2 linked regions of the Lonchura striata genome follow. The protein of the gene in region 2 purifies or fractionates together with the protein of the main gene of each other region. This does not show direct contact. Links are inferred from orthologs where the notes say so. Each region holds a gene or a part of one and is shown on either strand. Other genes may lie near its edges.

Region 1 (7,127 bases), on a different chromosome or scaffold from region 2:
CAATAATCACCTGTATACCGACAGACTGAAATTGAAGCTTGTACTTCTCCCCATACACAATTTTTAGCTCATTTTCTAACAGTTTTCTGTTATATACAGAGTAGGGTCTCTGAATAAAATAAGCAAACTGCCATTTTTTAAGTAATAAAAAGAGAGAAAATGTACTTGTTTTCATAAAGTATAATATGTTTATAATATATAAATATACCTATTTACATGAAGTCAAAAGCTCTAAAAATAAATGACCTTACTACCAAGTTACTTCCAGAAAAAACTAGCAACTCTAAGAAAGGGCAAAAACTGAAGCTCATACTGTTCTAGGGCAGATAGCAATTTATAAAGAATGAGTCACATCTCCAGAATTCAACTGCAGTAACTTTTCCTGAACCGAGTTAACCATCCATATAGAGAAAAACACTGATAAGAACCTCATGAGAGGTTCCAGCAAGGGAAAAAAAAAAAAAAAAAAAACAGGACAAAAGTCCAAGTAAAGTAGTGATGAGATAACAACATTTTTAATTCATATCCCATGGAGCAGAAACCAGAGACTACATGAAATAGCTGGATTCTGAATCTACTGATATAAATAATGTCTTGGAAATAAAAACAAACAAACAAACAATACAAAACCCAAACAAATAAAACCCCAAAAACCTGCAATAGAGAAGAGAAAGGCAAACAGGGTAAAAATATAATAGAAACCACAATCTTATATGGTTTGCTAAAACAAGTCTTTGTGAAAGTTGAAACAATGCAGGCTATCCCAGCTGCTTAATATACTGCCATGTGCTTTCCATGGGAACCACTTAGTGTAATATTTTGCAGAAAGCAGAACATACGTTAAAATACATTACTTTCATGTGATAAGATCTGCCACATGAGAATAAAGCATCCCACAAACTACCTATTGTTCTTTTGGAAAGCTACCATCTGAAACACCCCATTACAACAAATTGCACAGCCAGAAGGAACACTGCAGTTAACCTGGGACATCCACAACTTGTAGAAACACTGACGTGCAAAAGGCCTGAAGTGAGAACACTGGGTCTGTACCAACCTACACTGCATTTATTCCACCTGAAGTTTGTAAGCCGTTCCAAAATCTTGCTGCCACTCAAAGGAACAATTTGTGGTCCAATGTGCTCCCAACAGAAAACTAAGCCAGATAAAAGTAAGCACAGCTGGATGTATTATTTCAGCCTGCTAGATCTAATCCCTGGCAGATCAAATGAGTACAGTATCCAAGAAAGCAACAGTGCAACACACAGGTGGGGAAATACAGAGAAGGATGGAACTGGTCCTGAGAGCAGTGAAACGTCAAACCAGCCCAGCCACTTCATGAAGTTTGGGAAAACACAACTGTCATTTTTCCTCTGTGTTAAAAGAGACATGGCAAAGAATGTTACTGAATTAGAAGTTGCATTAGTATTGTGGATGTGGCATAACTAAAGCCGTTTTGCAATGTCTTAGAGATGTAGTCTTAGGCAAACAGGGCTCTTGGAAAGGAACAAAGAATACACAGCAAATTTACAAACAACTATCCACAACCATTCTAACATCTCATATAAACCATCATAATACAGCTGCTTTCACAAGAGACATTCTGAAGAAGATCCTGATAAAAGCCTAAGTAGAAAAGTAAAAACAACCTGAAAAATTAAAATATTAAAATATTTATCTAAAAAATTAAAATATTGCCGTTCATCCAATAAACTTCTGTGTTGATATTAAAATGGATAAAACCAGACAAGGAACTTGTCTGTATACATAAAAATTGGATGTGCATAGGTAGAAACAGCTGGGAGGACAGTATGGTTATCTTTTTATATACACACTCAACAGCAGTAAAGAACATAAAAATAAAGTTGCAAAAGCTCCAGCTGCAGAAATTCCCTGCTCCAACAATTCTGGTTGAAACGGATCTGGTAAAGTGGCACAAAGAACTCTACAGGATTTTCGTGCTATAGCTAAGGGCAGCCCTCAGCACCCTCGGAGAAGCGCAGACGTGGCTAATGACGTGTGTTCTCAAATGCCGAGACCAGCGTGAACTGAAACGATCATCTTCTGCGCCGTGCTGGAAAAGTGAAACTGCAGACTATCACACACTCACTCACCATGGCTACTACATACAATCGGACACCACACCGAGATTTTAAATCCTAAATAAAGGGTCCACATGCTTGAGAACACTGCATTGCAAAGCAACACTTTCAGAAGACAGAATCATGAAATAAAACTATTTCTACAAAAAAACAATACGGACGCAATTCGCATCTGTTGACGGGGGCGGAGGGAAAAGTGGGTGTTGCTTGTACCTCCCCCTCCTGCGAGCTCAGTCCCTGCCAAGCAATAATGCTTCGTTCCGGAACGCTCGGCAAGGATCCACGACATACAAAGAATTTTTAATTACCAAATTATAGGACTGACAAGGCTTTGTACCCACGCCGGGGGCAGGTTCCCACACACTACCAGCGCGCAGGCCGGGGGAAAGGCCACTACCGTCCATGAGCACCTCCGGGCCACGCAGACGGGACAAGCCGCGTTCCTCTGCCTCGGGCCGAGAGCCAGCGCGGCCGCAGAGCTGCCGGCCGCGGCGGAGCGGGCTCCTGCCGCCCGGGGCCGGAGCCGAGCTGCCCGGGCGCTGCCCGGCCGCCAGGTGCAGCAAGGGCCCCAGTTCCGCCCGCCGGCCGCCTCGGCCTCCGGCGCTCAGGGCCCGCGGCCGCTGCCGGCGCCCGGCCCGGCCTGCCCGAGGCCAGGACGGCACGTTCCCGGAGAGGCGGCCCCGTCAGGCGACACCCGCACGGCGGGAGAAAAGGCACCCTCACGCCATTCAGCGGCCCGACCCCCCTTCCCCGCGACTCCCGCCAGCTAGCGTGACCCAGCGCCCGACACGGCGCGTCCCGCGGGGGGAGAGGCGGGAGAGGCCGGCGCCGCCGCCGCCCGCCCCCATTACCTTGCCGCTCGGCGGCGCCGCCGCCATGTTGCCCACGAGTGTTTATGGTGACGTAGCACTCCTCACGTGCTTCCCCGCCGCGCCACAACAACGGCGCCACAGCTGCGTGCCGCGCATGCGCACTGCGCGGGGCCAGGCGGAGCCCGGGGCGGAAAGACCGTGAATGGGGAGCGAGGGCTGGCTGAGCCGAACCGCGGCCCGGCACCGGGAGCGAGGGCTGGCTGAGCCGAACCGCGGCCCGGCACCGGGAGCGAGGGCTGGCTGAGCTGTCCCGTTCCCAACTGCGGCCCGGCCCCGGGAGGGGGCTGGCTGCGCTGTCCCGTTCCAGAAGCGGTGGCCGCGGCCCGGCGCTCATGTTGAATCCCAGCACACACGCTCCCTCTGGGAGGCTGGCCAGTGTGGCTGCAGTGCCCAGCCGCGGGCCCCGCGGCGACCCCTCCACAGCGTGCGAGTACGGCGGCGAGGAGGAAAGGAGATTGTTCTTCGTCAGAGCTCCCTGAGATTGCAGTTGTAACTTGAGCAATGTTGTATAGTTGATATAAAACACACATCATACTCTCTCAAATTATTTTCTTTCTCTTTCCGCTGTTGTCATAGAATAACAGAATAGTTTGGGTTGGAAGGGACATTAAAGATCGTCTAGCTCCAGCCACGCTGCCATGGCCAGGGACACCTTCCACTGAATCAGGTTGCTCAAAGCCCCATCCAACCTGGCCTCGAACACTGCCAGGGACGGACATCCAGAACTCGTCTTTGGAACCCGTCCCAGTGCCTCACCACCCACACAGGAAAGAATTTCTCTCTAATATCTAAACCTACTCTCTGCCTGTTGGAAGCCATTCCCCCTTGTCATCCCCTTGCAAAAAGTCTCTCTCCAGCTAACTTTCAGACCCCCTTTAGGTACTGGAAAGTGCTATGAGATCTCAATGTTAATATCACAGTACCCACAGGCACTACTAAGCTGCCCTAATACTCATACACCAGATTTTTAATGTTAGTGAAAAATACAGTACTTTCAAGATGGTAGTTTCTAGCACATAATGCATTCAACACATCAAGGTACAAAGGAAAATCTTAATTACAATCTCATCTATTTTAGCAAATATTCGGCTTTCATACGTGTACAGATTTATAAAGCCCAAAACAATTCTGCAAAACTCAATGGATTTTGATTGGTCTTATTTATCTGAAACAGTATATTATGTGTAGTATTACTTTTAAAAAATTGTCTCTCACATAACGTCTGAAATATAATAAAGATGTTTTTTAAGACATTGGTTATATTCCAACAATACCATCAGATATTTTGAGCAAACAGTACATCCCCAAACACTGTTTATTTGAAACAGACAAATGAGATGCCTGCAGGGAAGTGATTTGTTTCTCTGAAGGAGCAAAGGTAATTTATTGGGTTTTGGGACGGGTTAGTTGGGGGTTTTTATTTCTGTCATAAAGTGGCATTATAATTCCCTTGTGACTTTTTGAATTAAAAACTCATTTAGTTACATTAATACCCATACCATACTTACCTCAGAAAACCAGATTTGCAATTTTCAAGACAAATACTGACCTGCTTCAAAGTTGGAAAAGCCTGTTGTGACTTTTTGTATATAAGCATGCATAAAGATGAGAAAATTAAATAAAAACACAGTCAGATGACAAGTCCTTGTAGTAATACCTAGGTCTGGAAAGCTGTATCAGTGTAGCAAAAAATGGACACCTTAACTTTGGTGGTCCTTTTATTTAAATTTAATAAGGACATGGTGTCCTTATTATTTAGTGTCACAGTAAATACAAGGGAGAAGGCTACACATTAAAAATGCATCACCATAAATTAATTGTTTTGAGGAGTGCAATTGTTTTAGCCATCTTCCACATCAGTTTCATCTCATTTGGTCTCCCATGTGTTCATTTTGATCCTTTCCTTTTCCTACCCTTTTCCTTTGTTTCTTACTCCTTGCAATGTAACCATACCTGAGTTTCACACCCATCTGTAATCCTATTTCCTCTGCACTTCCTTTTCATCTCTAACCTCCCTATAATTTGCAATGAACACTAGGGACTTCTTTGATTAGTTCCATTGCATCCCCTACTCTGGCTCTTCAATGAAACTGCTTTGTCAAGGTTTCTTTCCTAGGAGAAGCTCAAAATTGAGATTCACATTTCCACTTTGTTAGCCAAGCCACAATCTGCAATGACTCCTTGAGATCTGTTCTCTTTACTAGCATGACTGCCAGCTTCTAGTTCTCCTGTCTCTTGGACTTGTTCATTAGCATATTGAATCAAAGCCTGTTTCTTTGTAGGAAATTGTGTCAATAAATACATATTTATCACATGACTCATCACCATATTTCTACCATAGCAATTAATTGTGATCCAAATTAAAATCTCTTATCATTGTAGGCAGCTAACAGTAAAATAGTTTTACTTTCCTCCAAATTCTCTTGACAGTCATCTCTCTCTCTTCAATATCAATAGCCATATGTCTCCAGGGCCCACAGCTTGGTTGATGCCTTAGCCTTAGAGAATATTCTGGACTTTTTCATGCTTTACCTAACTCCCTTGCTGACATTTTCTAGTACAACAGCACTAAATCATAACTTTCCCCATCTATCCACACAGCTAATTATTTTTTCTTGTAACATTCTGTTTGCTGACAGTGACCAATACCATTTTGATATGTCCAGACTTCTGCAGAATGTTTGTGTCAATCATCCAGTCCATATTATTTTAACCCTCTCATCTGAATTCCTCCTGCTCATCTACCCACTCTCACCCTTCTACAGGGCCCAAGATAAAATGCCATTATTCATTTTTAGGACAATTACCGCCCACTCTCACTCACTGCCAAAGGACCTGCTTCTACCCAGTCAGCTCAATGCTAGACTTTGCCTATTATTTGTAAAATTTGCACACAAGTTGTATGAAAGGCTTTTTCCTCAAGCTGACCTTCATGGAGCTGTCAACTAAATAAAAAATTAAAAGTTAAATCCCATTTGTGCTGCTCTCAGCATGCCAGTCACCACTTACCTTGGTGTCAAGGCCAGTATGTTTCAGAGAACTCTCAGTCCCACAGACCAATTTACTCCATGAGATGTACATGTCCATCTTATAGCTACTTACCCAATCTTGGGCCTTCTCCCTTGTTGTTTAGCAAATTATCATTGCATAACAATGTGTACATTGTTACTAAAGATGAGGAGCAAAATTACTCTTTGTTACCAGGTTGCTCTATCAAAGGACTGCTGAAAGGTTGAAACTGGCAGGAATTTTTAGAGATCATCTAATCCAACCCTCCTGCCCAGAGCAGATCACAAATGATTACTCAGGGCTTTATAAAGTTTGAGGTTTGAGAATCTTCAAGAATATACATATCACAACCTCCTCAGTCAAGTTGTTTCATCAGTGTTTGGTTGCTTTTGGAATGCCAAAGCTTTTTCTTATGCTTAAATTGAATTTCTTGTATTTCACTTTGGGTCCATTTTGTCATTGAATACCACTAAAGAGACCAGCTCTGCCTTCTTTACTCCCTCTCATAATCTATTTTTAGACACTGAAAAGATCCTCTGAGCCTTCTAGAGACTGAACAGTCTGACATCTGTCAGCGTCTCTTCATATGACAGATGGCCCATTCTCCTAATTGCCTTTGATTGCCCTTCATAGGTCTCACTCCAGGATGTCAGTGTCTCCATTTTGCCAGGGCATCCAGCACTAGACCCAGCATTCCAGGACTCTCTCTGGAGGGTTGAAGAACTATCATCACCCCTCAGCTTGCTGGCAGTGCTCTTCCTGATGGAGCCCAGGATGGCTTTATTTTCTGGCTCGTGACTGACTTGTGCACAGTTTTTGACACTCAGATACCTTAGTGCAAAACTACTCCCTACCTACATTATTGATGCATTACCTTATTGCACTTTACAAACCTGAATGATACACAACAGCAAGTTCCACAGGCCGACATGATGCTGGCAGGTCCCTCTCCCTTCTCCATAAGCCTATTAAGAAAACAATGGAACAGTCTGTAGCTCTATGCTGAAGTCCAACATTTCACACGCTACAGGAATGGGCATCTAAGGAGGATATCTTTAGCCTGAGGGCTCACTCTTTGTTGGATTTTAATTAACCATCTGCTCTAACACTTCTGTCACATAAAAGGTAGTCACAGCACACCAGC
Region 2 (7,348 bases):
CAGTGTTTTACAAGTACTTAGAGACCAAGCTGCTGATCAAGTGCTTGGTGCTGCACCTTGAACACAGAGATGCCAACATCTGGGTGCATTTGGTGCCAGTGCTTAGGATCACATGACTGATGGTTAAAAGGGAAGTGATGGTTAAGACCTGCAGTGTAAAACTGTATGTGGCTCAGCTCCAGATAAGCCAGTACCTTAAATTGTTACTGCATTGTCATTGCTTGCCATTCAGGGGGTCCAGCTGAAAAATGAGGCAGTGATGTGTTTGAGTAACTGAAGCAATAGTTTCCCACATTCATGTTACCAGGCACTGACATAGCATTCAGGTTTAAAATAGCATTTTAAATTTTGCAAAAATCACATGGCGAGAACCTTAACTAATGGAACATGTTAGAGTGTCCTAAATTTTTTTATAATAGTGTGATGGAAAATCAATTGCAAAAATATACAACAAAGCCCAATACTCCTTCAGGAACTCCATTGCTCCTTATTAACGGTACGCCTACCAGCTCTACTTGGAAAGAGCTAAGCTAGAAAACATTCTGTATCTTCTAGCTCCAGTAAAAAAACCCAAAACTATGTAATGAAATGTTAGACACACACTAGACTTTAAGAGGACAGGTCTGCTGCAGCATAAAGTATTTTTCACTTCCGAATGAGTGAAAGAAATTCACTAATTTTGGAAAGGTACAGGTCAAATCAGTCTGATTTCAGCAGAGTGAGTATCTGCCTTCTGTCCTTCCTCCTGTTCCAATGCAAGCTGCTATCAGCAAGCTGCTATCAGCAAGCTGCACTGCTCCTGGATTTTTGCAGGAAATGTGTGTTGCACAGCTGTTTTCCTTAACATCTTCTGTAACCAAACACAAAGGTTAGAAACTGTAGGGAGGAGTTACTGAAATCATTAAATTTAGCATTAACCTCTATGTATCTGTTCATATTTCAGGTAATTGTAATAACTGCAAGAGCTGCTATGAATGCCTTGGAAACCCTAGATGTCAAAGAGACAGAGAACACTTGCAATTAACCTGCGGAATCATTAACCTACACCGAGTTTAGTCAGAAAATTCCTAAGCAAGGTGTTACATTTCCATCCTGTTTTACTCTGCTGCTGTCCTTCATTCTATATGCCAGAGGAGCATCTGACTGTTGGAGATTAATTAGTAATTAAGAATTGCTTCAGAAACATCACAAGTTCAGAGAAGAAAGCAACTTAATCATTTTAGAAAATAGCTAGAAATTTAAATTCCAGTCTCCTGGGATTTACTTTTGAGCAGGAAATTTAAATAACTTTCTTTTGACCATACCACATTGACCCCACTAACTAGATGTAATAAACAAATGGGAGATATTCAAGCTGACATTTGAGCAGTGTCAAAGCCTTCTAAGCTTGTTCTGAGTAGATTAGTAGATAAGTGCTAGCCTTCCTATTCTGGGATATGTTCCAAAGCAAGCATGAGGACTGATGATTTCATTTAACTCCAAAGTAGTCAACACTTTATACTTAACAATGCAAATAATTTGTTTAATTCTTATGACATGCTACCAGTTGACAGTGATGATGTTGTGATAAAAATACCTCTCTTCTCGGCACTGAATCTGAGGGCAAAAACTACATTTCCTCTACTATTCAATCAATATGTTAAACTATAATTATTAGCAAGGGATGTGCAGTTTTCTCAAAAATACATAGTGGATCTCATCTGCTGTAATCTCAGAAATATTGACTTTTTTTTTTTTTTTAAACAAGGGATAAAAACATCAGGGGTTTCACAGATTCTGAAATATATTTGTAGACATTTATAAGATAGCAGCAAATAGATTGAGAGACAGTTGCCTGTATTCCAGCAGTATTGACAAATTTGCAAGGGTTTTGGTTTGCCAGATATTGCTACTCATCCAGCTTTGCTGTATCTGTCAATGATAGCAAGGCCACAGAGCTGCTTTCAAACTGGCCCTTAAACATTTCCCAAATGCATCCTCATTCAGTGGAATACATGCCTAAGTCTCTAGTATGTTCAGTGATTATGACTTGAATCCAATTCCAGTGCCCTACATTGCAGAGAAGAATCCCTCTAATATGATTACCTAGCAGTACATCAATCTAGGGAAATCTTCAAAGCAGAGCCTATAAAACAGAAAAATACTAGGTCTTGGCTCTTAGGACTGTAAACTTCTAAATAATGATTGCTCTGTCACTCGATTCTGAGAGCCTGTGAAAAGAAAAAAAAAAACAAGCTTTATCTTCACCACTGAAACAACATTCCTAAACCTATTACAAAGGCAATTCTGGAAAAGTTTAGATACTGGATAGGTTTTATCCTCACCTATAGTAAAGCCAGATCCACAAAAAGGCTTAATTACTTTAAGTGGAGGTTAGTCGAAAACATTCAAAATCGTAATTAATTAAGCCATGAGTACCTCATTAGATCCCAGCTTCAGAAGGCACCCAAGCTTTTCCAAAGAGGTTTCACGCTGGAGCTCTTACAAGCTTTGCAGGCTTTGCACCTCCTTATTTACCTTCCATTTCTTAGAAATGAGGGTTGCCTGTCACTTTTGTGTGGTTACAGGCATTCAGCAGTGCACTGGCAAGACAGAGTTTGCATATGTAGCATACAGCAGCCACAGTCATTTGCATTTGAAAGAAAGAAGGAAAAATTCTGTAGCAAATAATTTCTTCCAGCTGTGCTTTGACAGCAGAGAGTAAGCTGGTTTTCTGTAGCCAAAGACACAAAGTATGTGATGGGTTTCATGCTGTGAATCCAATTTAGATTCTTTTCAGAGGAAAGAACCTCAACTTGGGATAAGTCAGGATTTCTAATGTGCTCTTTGTCTCTTCTTCCTGGCTGGTTTAGACATACCTTCTGCTCTGTGAGCGGATTATGAGTCCCAATCCCACCTACCTGATGCAGGCCTTGTACAGAGAGGACAAGTGAGCAACAGAAATCTGAAGTTAGTGCTGGAAATTGGCCATTTAAAAGATACATGCTGATATGCTAATCTTAGCTGAAGTCTTTGCGGACTGTCGCCTTGGCAGTATTTAAGAGATTAAATTTACAAAGTTTCAGGAACTCAGTACTCTGGAATGCTAGCTAATAATTGCATTTGAATGCAAATATTAAAGTGCATTTTTATGATATATTACAAAATTTATGGAATACAAGAAATATATTACTTACCTAAAAATTTTTATTATTGGTTGCCTACTTAAAAATTGTTACCTAGCTGACAAATTATATTTTGCAGTTCCAGAGTGGCATTGGTTTTCAGTCTTGTACTGCAGTAAGGTAAATGTGATTTGAGGCCCGCATTTCCATCATCACATGAACACAAAGTGCACACAGCTCGTGCTGCAAAGCACTGTCACCTTTTTAAATGCCTAGCATGACTTATTTCAGTAAAATCTGAGTTCTGCATTTTCATTGAAAATGTCAGTGAAATTTGGTGCCCTAATAGTTTCAGCCTTATGATACCATATCTCCTCTGAAATCGGGATTTCAGCTCACCTCATATGGTGAGCTGAAATATGGTGCCTACCATCCTGTTGAAGAGCTGGAGTCAGATGTGCCATCAGAGCCCGTGGTGATCTCTTCAATGTGGTCCCTTGGTGGAGCCTGGGGAGGAATTAATTTGATCCTAAAGCAGACACCTTCATTTGGCCACCTGAAAAGCTCTCCAAACTCCGCTGTCTGTATTAGCTCTGTCTCTGTTAGCTGTAATGACAGCTCACCCACAGCTCTAATGAGACATTTACCTGCTGGACTCCCCAAATCACGGTGAGCCTTGAGGGACAGTTTTCCCAAGTGCAAGGAGTCAGGCTTCCTCAGGGCACCTACATATTTAAAATTTAAATCGTGTTAAATCATGAAATCACAGAATAGTTAGGGCTGGAAGCGGCAGCTTCTGGAGATGGATTAGTCCAACTTCCCAGCCAAGGCAAGGTCCCCTGGAGCAGGTGGCACGGGAATGTGACCAGGTGGGTTTTGAACGCGTCCAGAGAGGGAGACCCCACGCCCTCCCTGTGCAGCCAGTCCCAATGCTCTGCCTCCCTCAGCGGAAAGAGGCTTCTCCCATTTCTGGGAGCAGGAGTGATTCCAGAAAACACACGCGCGCCGGAGCGCCGCCGCTCACCCGCCGGGCCCGGCAGGGGGCGCCGCCCTGTCGCCTGGCGGCGGCGTTTGGCCCATCGCGGCCGCCTTAGCCCTCCCCGCGCCGGCCCCGGCCCCGGCCCCGGCCCCGGCCCCGGCGCGCCGCGGCTCCTCGGGGGCTGCCGAGCTCGGGGCTCCGCCGGCCGCGCCCGCCCGCCGGGCCGGGCCGCGGCCATGTTCACCAGCACCGGCTCCAACGGCTTCTGTGAGTACCGGCCCGCCGCGGTCCGGGCGGGGCGGCGCCCCGGGGTGGGAGCGCGGGCGGCGCTGCCGCCGTCGGCCCCGGGGGAGCCGCTGCCTTCGGTCCTCTCTTGGCTGCACTTTTAAATTGTACGGCGGCGGGAGGAGCCGCGGGTGTGTCTGTGTGTGTGTCTGCCTGTGTAGGTGTGTGCATGTCCGTGTGTGTCTGTGTCTCTCTGTGTGTTTATATGTATTTGCATACATACAGACCTCCATGCCAAGTATCAAAAAAAGAAAAAAAACAAACCTATTTTCTTAATTTGAAATTAGACTTATTTTTAAAACCAGTTTATTGACAAGGCAGACGTAAGGACTAACGTGCCCGTAGCTCTGCTTAGCTTTATTTTTATGCACAGCATAATTATAATGTAAATAATTTCATGTCCCGGTGCTACCTGAACTGACTTCACAGGTTTCTGGGGCTGGCTCTGAGCTTGTTTTACAGGACACAGACTCTGCAGCGTCTGGAAGCAGCAGTGGGGAGCTGACCTGGCTGCAGTGTGCACTTGGGCACCACACACAGTCCTAAGAGAGGCGAGGACAAATGATACGTCAAAGCTTTGCTGCCTGCGTGCTCCTTACAGAATGGGTGGTACTGTCCGTGTGCTGAAGGGCAGGAGGGCTCTGCAGAGGCATCTGAGCAGGCTGGATCAATGGGCCGAGACCCAACAGTATGAGGGTCAAAACGGTCAAGTGCCAGGTCCTGCACTTAGGTCGCAACCAGCCCAGGCAGCACTACAGACCTGGAGAAGAGTGGCTGGAAAACTGCCCAGAGGAAAACGATCTGGTGCTGGTTGACAGCCAGCTGAACATGAGTCAGTGTGGCCAGGAAGGCCAATGGCATCCCGGCCTGTATCAGCAATAGTGTGGCCAGCAGGACCAGGGCTGTGATTGTCCCTCTGTACTCAGCACTGGTGAGGTCACATCTCGGGTACTGTCTCCAGTTCTGTGCCCCTCAATTTAGGAAGGACATTTGGGTGCTGTAGTATGTCCAGAGAAGGGCAGTGGAGCTGACGAAGCATCTGGAATGCATGTCCTTTGAGGAGTGGGTGAGGGAGCTGGGGTTGTTTTGGCTGGGAAAAGGAGGTTCAGGTGGAAGCAAAGTGAGGGTTGCCCTCTTCTCGCAGGTAACCAGAGACAGGACAAGACCCGAGGACTTAGCCTCAAGCTGTACCAAAGGAGGTTCAGGTTGGACATTGGGAGGAATTTCTTCACAGAAAGGATAATTAGATATTGGAATGGGCTTCCCGAGGAGGTGGTAGAGTCACCATCCCTGGAGGTATTTTTAAGAAAAGACTGAAATGTGGCACTCAGTGCCATGGTCTTGTTGACAGGATAGTGTTTGGTCACAGGTTGGATGTAATGATCTTAGAGGTCTTTTCTAACTTAATTGATTCTGTGGTTCTGTTTGAGTGTGAAAGCACCCTCTGACTAGGGGAGGAATATTTCTGGCATTTAAAAAGGGGTGTTAGTTGTAGCTGTATTTTCTGTGAGGAATCCAAAAAAGGGAAGAGTCTTTTTCAGATGGATCTGATAATACTGTGCCTTGATTTTCAGCTCCTGATTTTTTATCTCTCTCTGTGCCCCCAGTAGATACTATAGAGGGACTTTTCAATGGCATATGTCTGTGTATAATTTTATGAGAAAGAATGTAGGAGGAAGAGTATCCTTGTTAGACTGAATGGGTGGAGAGTCATGGTCAGTATTTACAAGTTTTTCCAGGTTTGATCCATCAGAAGGATGAGTGGGAAATGGTTGTCATAAGAAGCATATATGTGGTAGGGAAAAAAACTAGATATCATTCTGCAGAAAGAAAATCATAGAATATCCTGATCTGGAAAAGACCCACAAGGATTATCAAGTCCATCTTCTAGCCCCGCACAGGAGAGCTCAAGAATCACACCATGTGTCTGAGAGCATTGTCCAAATGCTTCTTGAACTCTGTCAGGCTGGTGCTGTGGTCACTGCCCTGGTGAACCTGTTCCAGTGTGTGGTCACTTTCTAGGCAAATAACCTTTCTGACCTAAACCTTCCCTGATACAGCTCCATACTTAGTGTTATGCTTTTTTTTTTTTTCCTTCTCAAAACCAAATACAACATATGTTCTTACTGAACTTACCTGTTGACCTAAAGTGGGTTTTTAAAATAAGATTTGGCTGGTATGGGTGCACTGACAAACTCCAGTAGAGGTATGGATTTAGGTGCAGTGACATATGCTCACCTAGGACACAACTGTGGCAGTTTCAGGTGTCCCTGTGCCCTCAGACTTGCTTCTGTGTGTGCAGCAAATCCCACACAGGAGTGTGGGATTCTGTCACTGATGCACAGAATCTGATTGTTCAGGTAGTTAATGAATTGGTGCCTGATGTTGCACCAGAGAACTGTATGTGTGTATTCTTCCCCTGGGGCTTGGGAACCTCTGGCAGAAGGCAGTGTCAGTGGATGAGGGGACCTGTATGAGTGATCCTGAATGAAATAAGTGGACACCTGGTTCAGCAGCAATAGCAATGATCATGCCAGGGCACACTGAAGGCTCCTGCAGCCTGCTGTGCCACCTCTGACAGACCGATTAACATCTATAATGGTGGAACGAGGAGATGTAAAAGTAAAAATAAACATACCTGGTACATGGTATGACTGTGAGATAGGGAAGCCAGGAAACAAAGGACACCACCTTCTTAAAGGACAAAGACAGTTTGCCTCTGCTGTGGAAATTGTTTCTGTTATCTGGAATATTGGAGGAGCTGGTATGCTCTGGAAAAAAGAGCCAGTGGCTCTGGGTACTAGTAGGAGACACAGTGCAGACATATGCAAATGGATTATAAGAACACCAACCCAGCTGAGCTGGATTGCAATGTGCTCAGGGGCATCCTGGCAGCACCTTTAGGTGGGCTGTGGTGCCCGACCCAGGCTGGTTGCTTGTGTTGGTGGCTTCGGTCCCGTGTACAATGCTGCTGAAACAC

What was found. The genes of interacting proteins can lie anywhere in the genome.
Region 1: the proteins of UBAC2 (region 2) and TBC1D15 purify together in Homo sapiens (affinity purification with mass spectrometry; 3 studies listed by BioGRID and IntAct, counting the BioPlex papers as one, with this or other methods). This does not show direct contact. The link is inferred for Lonchura striata from reciprocal best matches to the Homo sapiens genes UBAC2 and TBC1D15.

Annotation. Positions count from the first base shown.
Region 1 is NC_134607.1:45,544,467-45,551,593, reverse strand, and holds the start of TBC1D15 (TBC1 domain family member 15), read right to left. Parts: upstream 3,050-7,127; 5' UTR 2,981-3,049; coding exon 2,954-2,980; intron 1-2,953. UniProt on the Homo sapiens protein: Acts as a GTPase activating protein for RAB7A. Does not act on RAB4, RAB5 or RAB6.
Region 2 is NC_134604.1:78,098,861-78,106,208, forward strand, and holds the start of UBAC2 (ubiquitin-associated domain-containing protein 2), read left to right. Parts: upstream 1-4,251; 5' UTR 4,252-4,319; coding exon 4,320-4,350; intron 4,351-4,830; exon of another isoform or gene 4,831-4,970; coding exon of another isoform or gene 4,971-4,977; intron 4,978-7,348. UniProt on the Homo sapiens protein: Restricts trafficking of FAF2 from the endoplasmic reticulum to lipid droplets.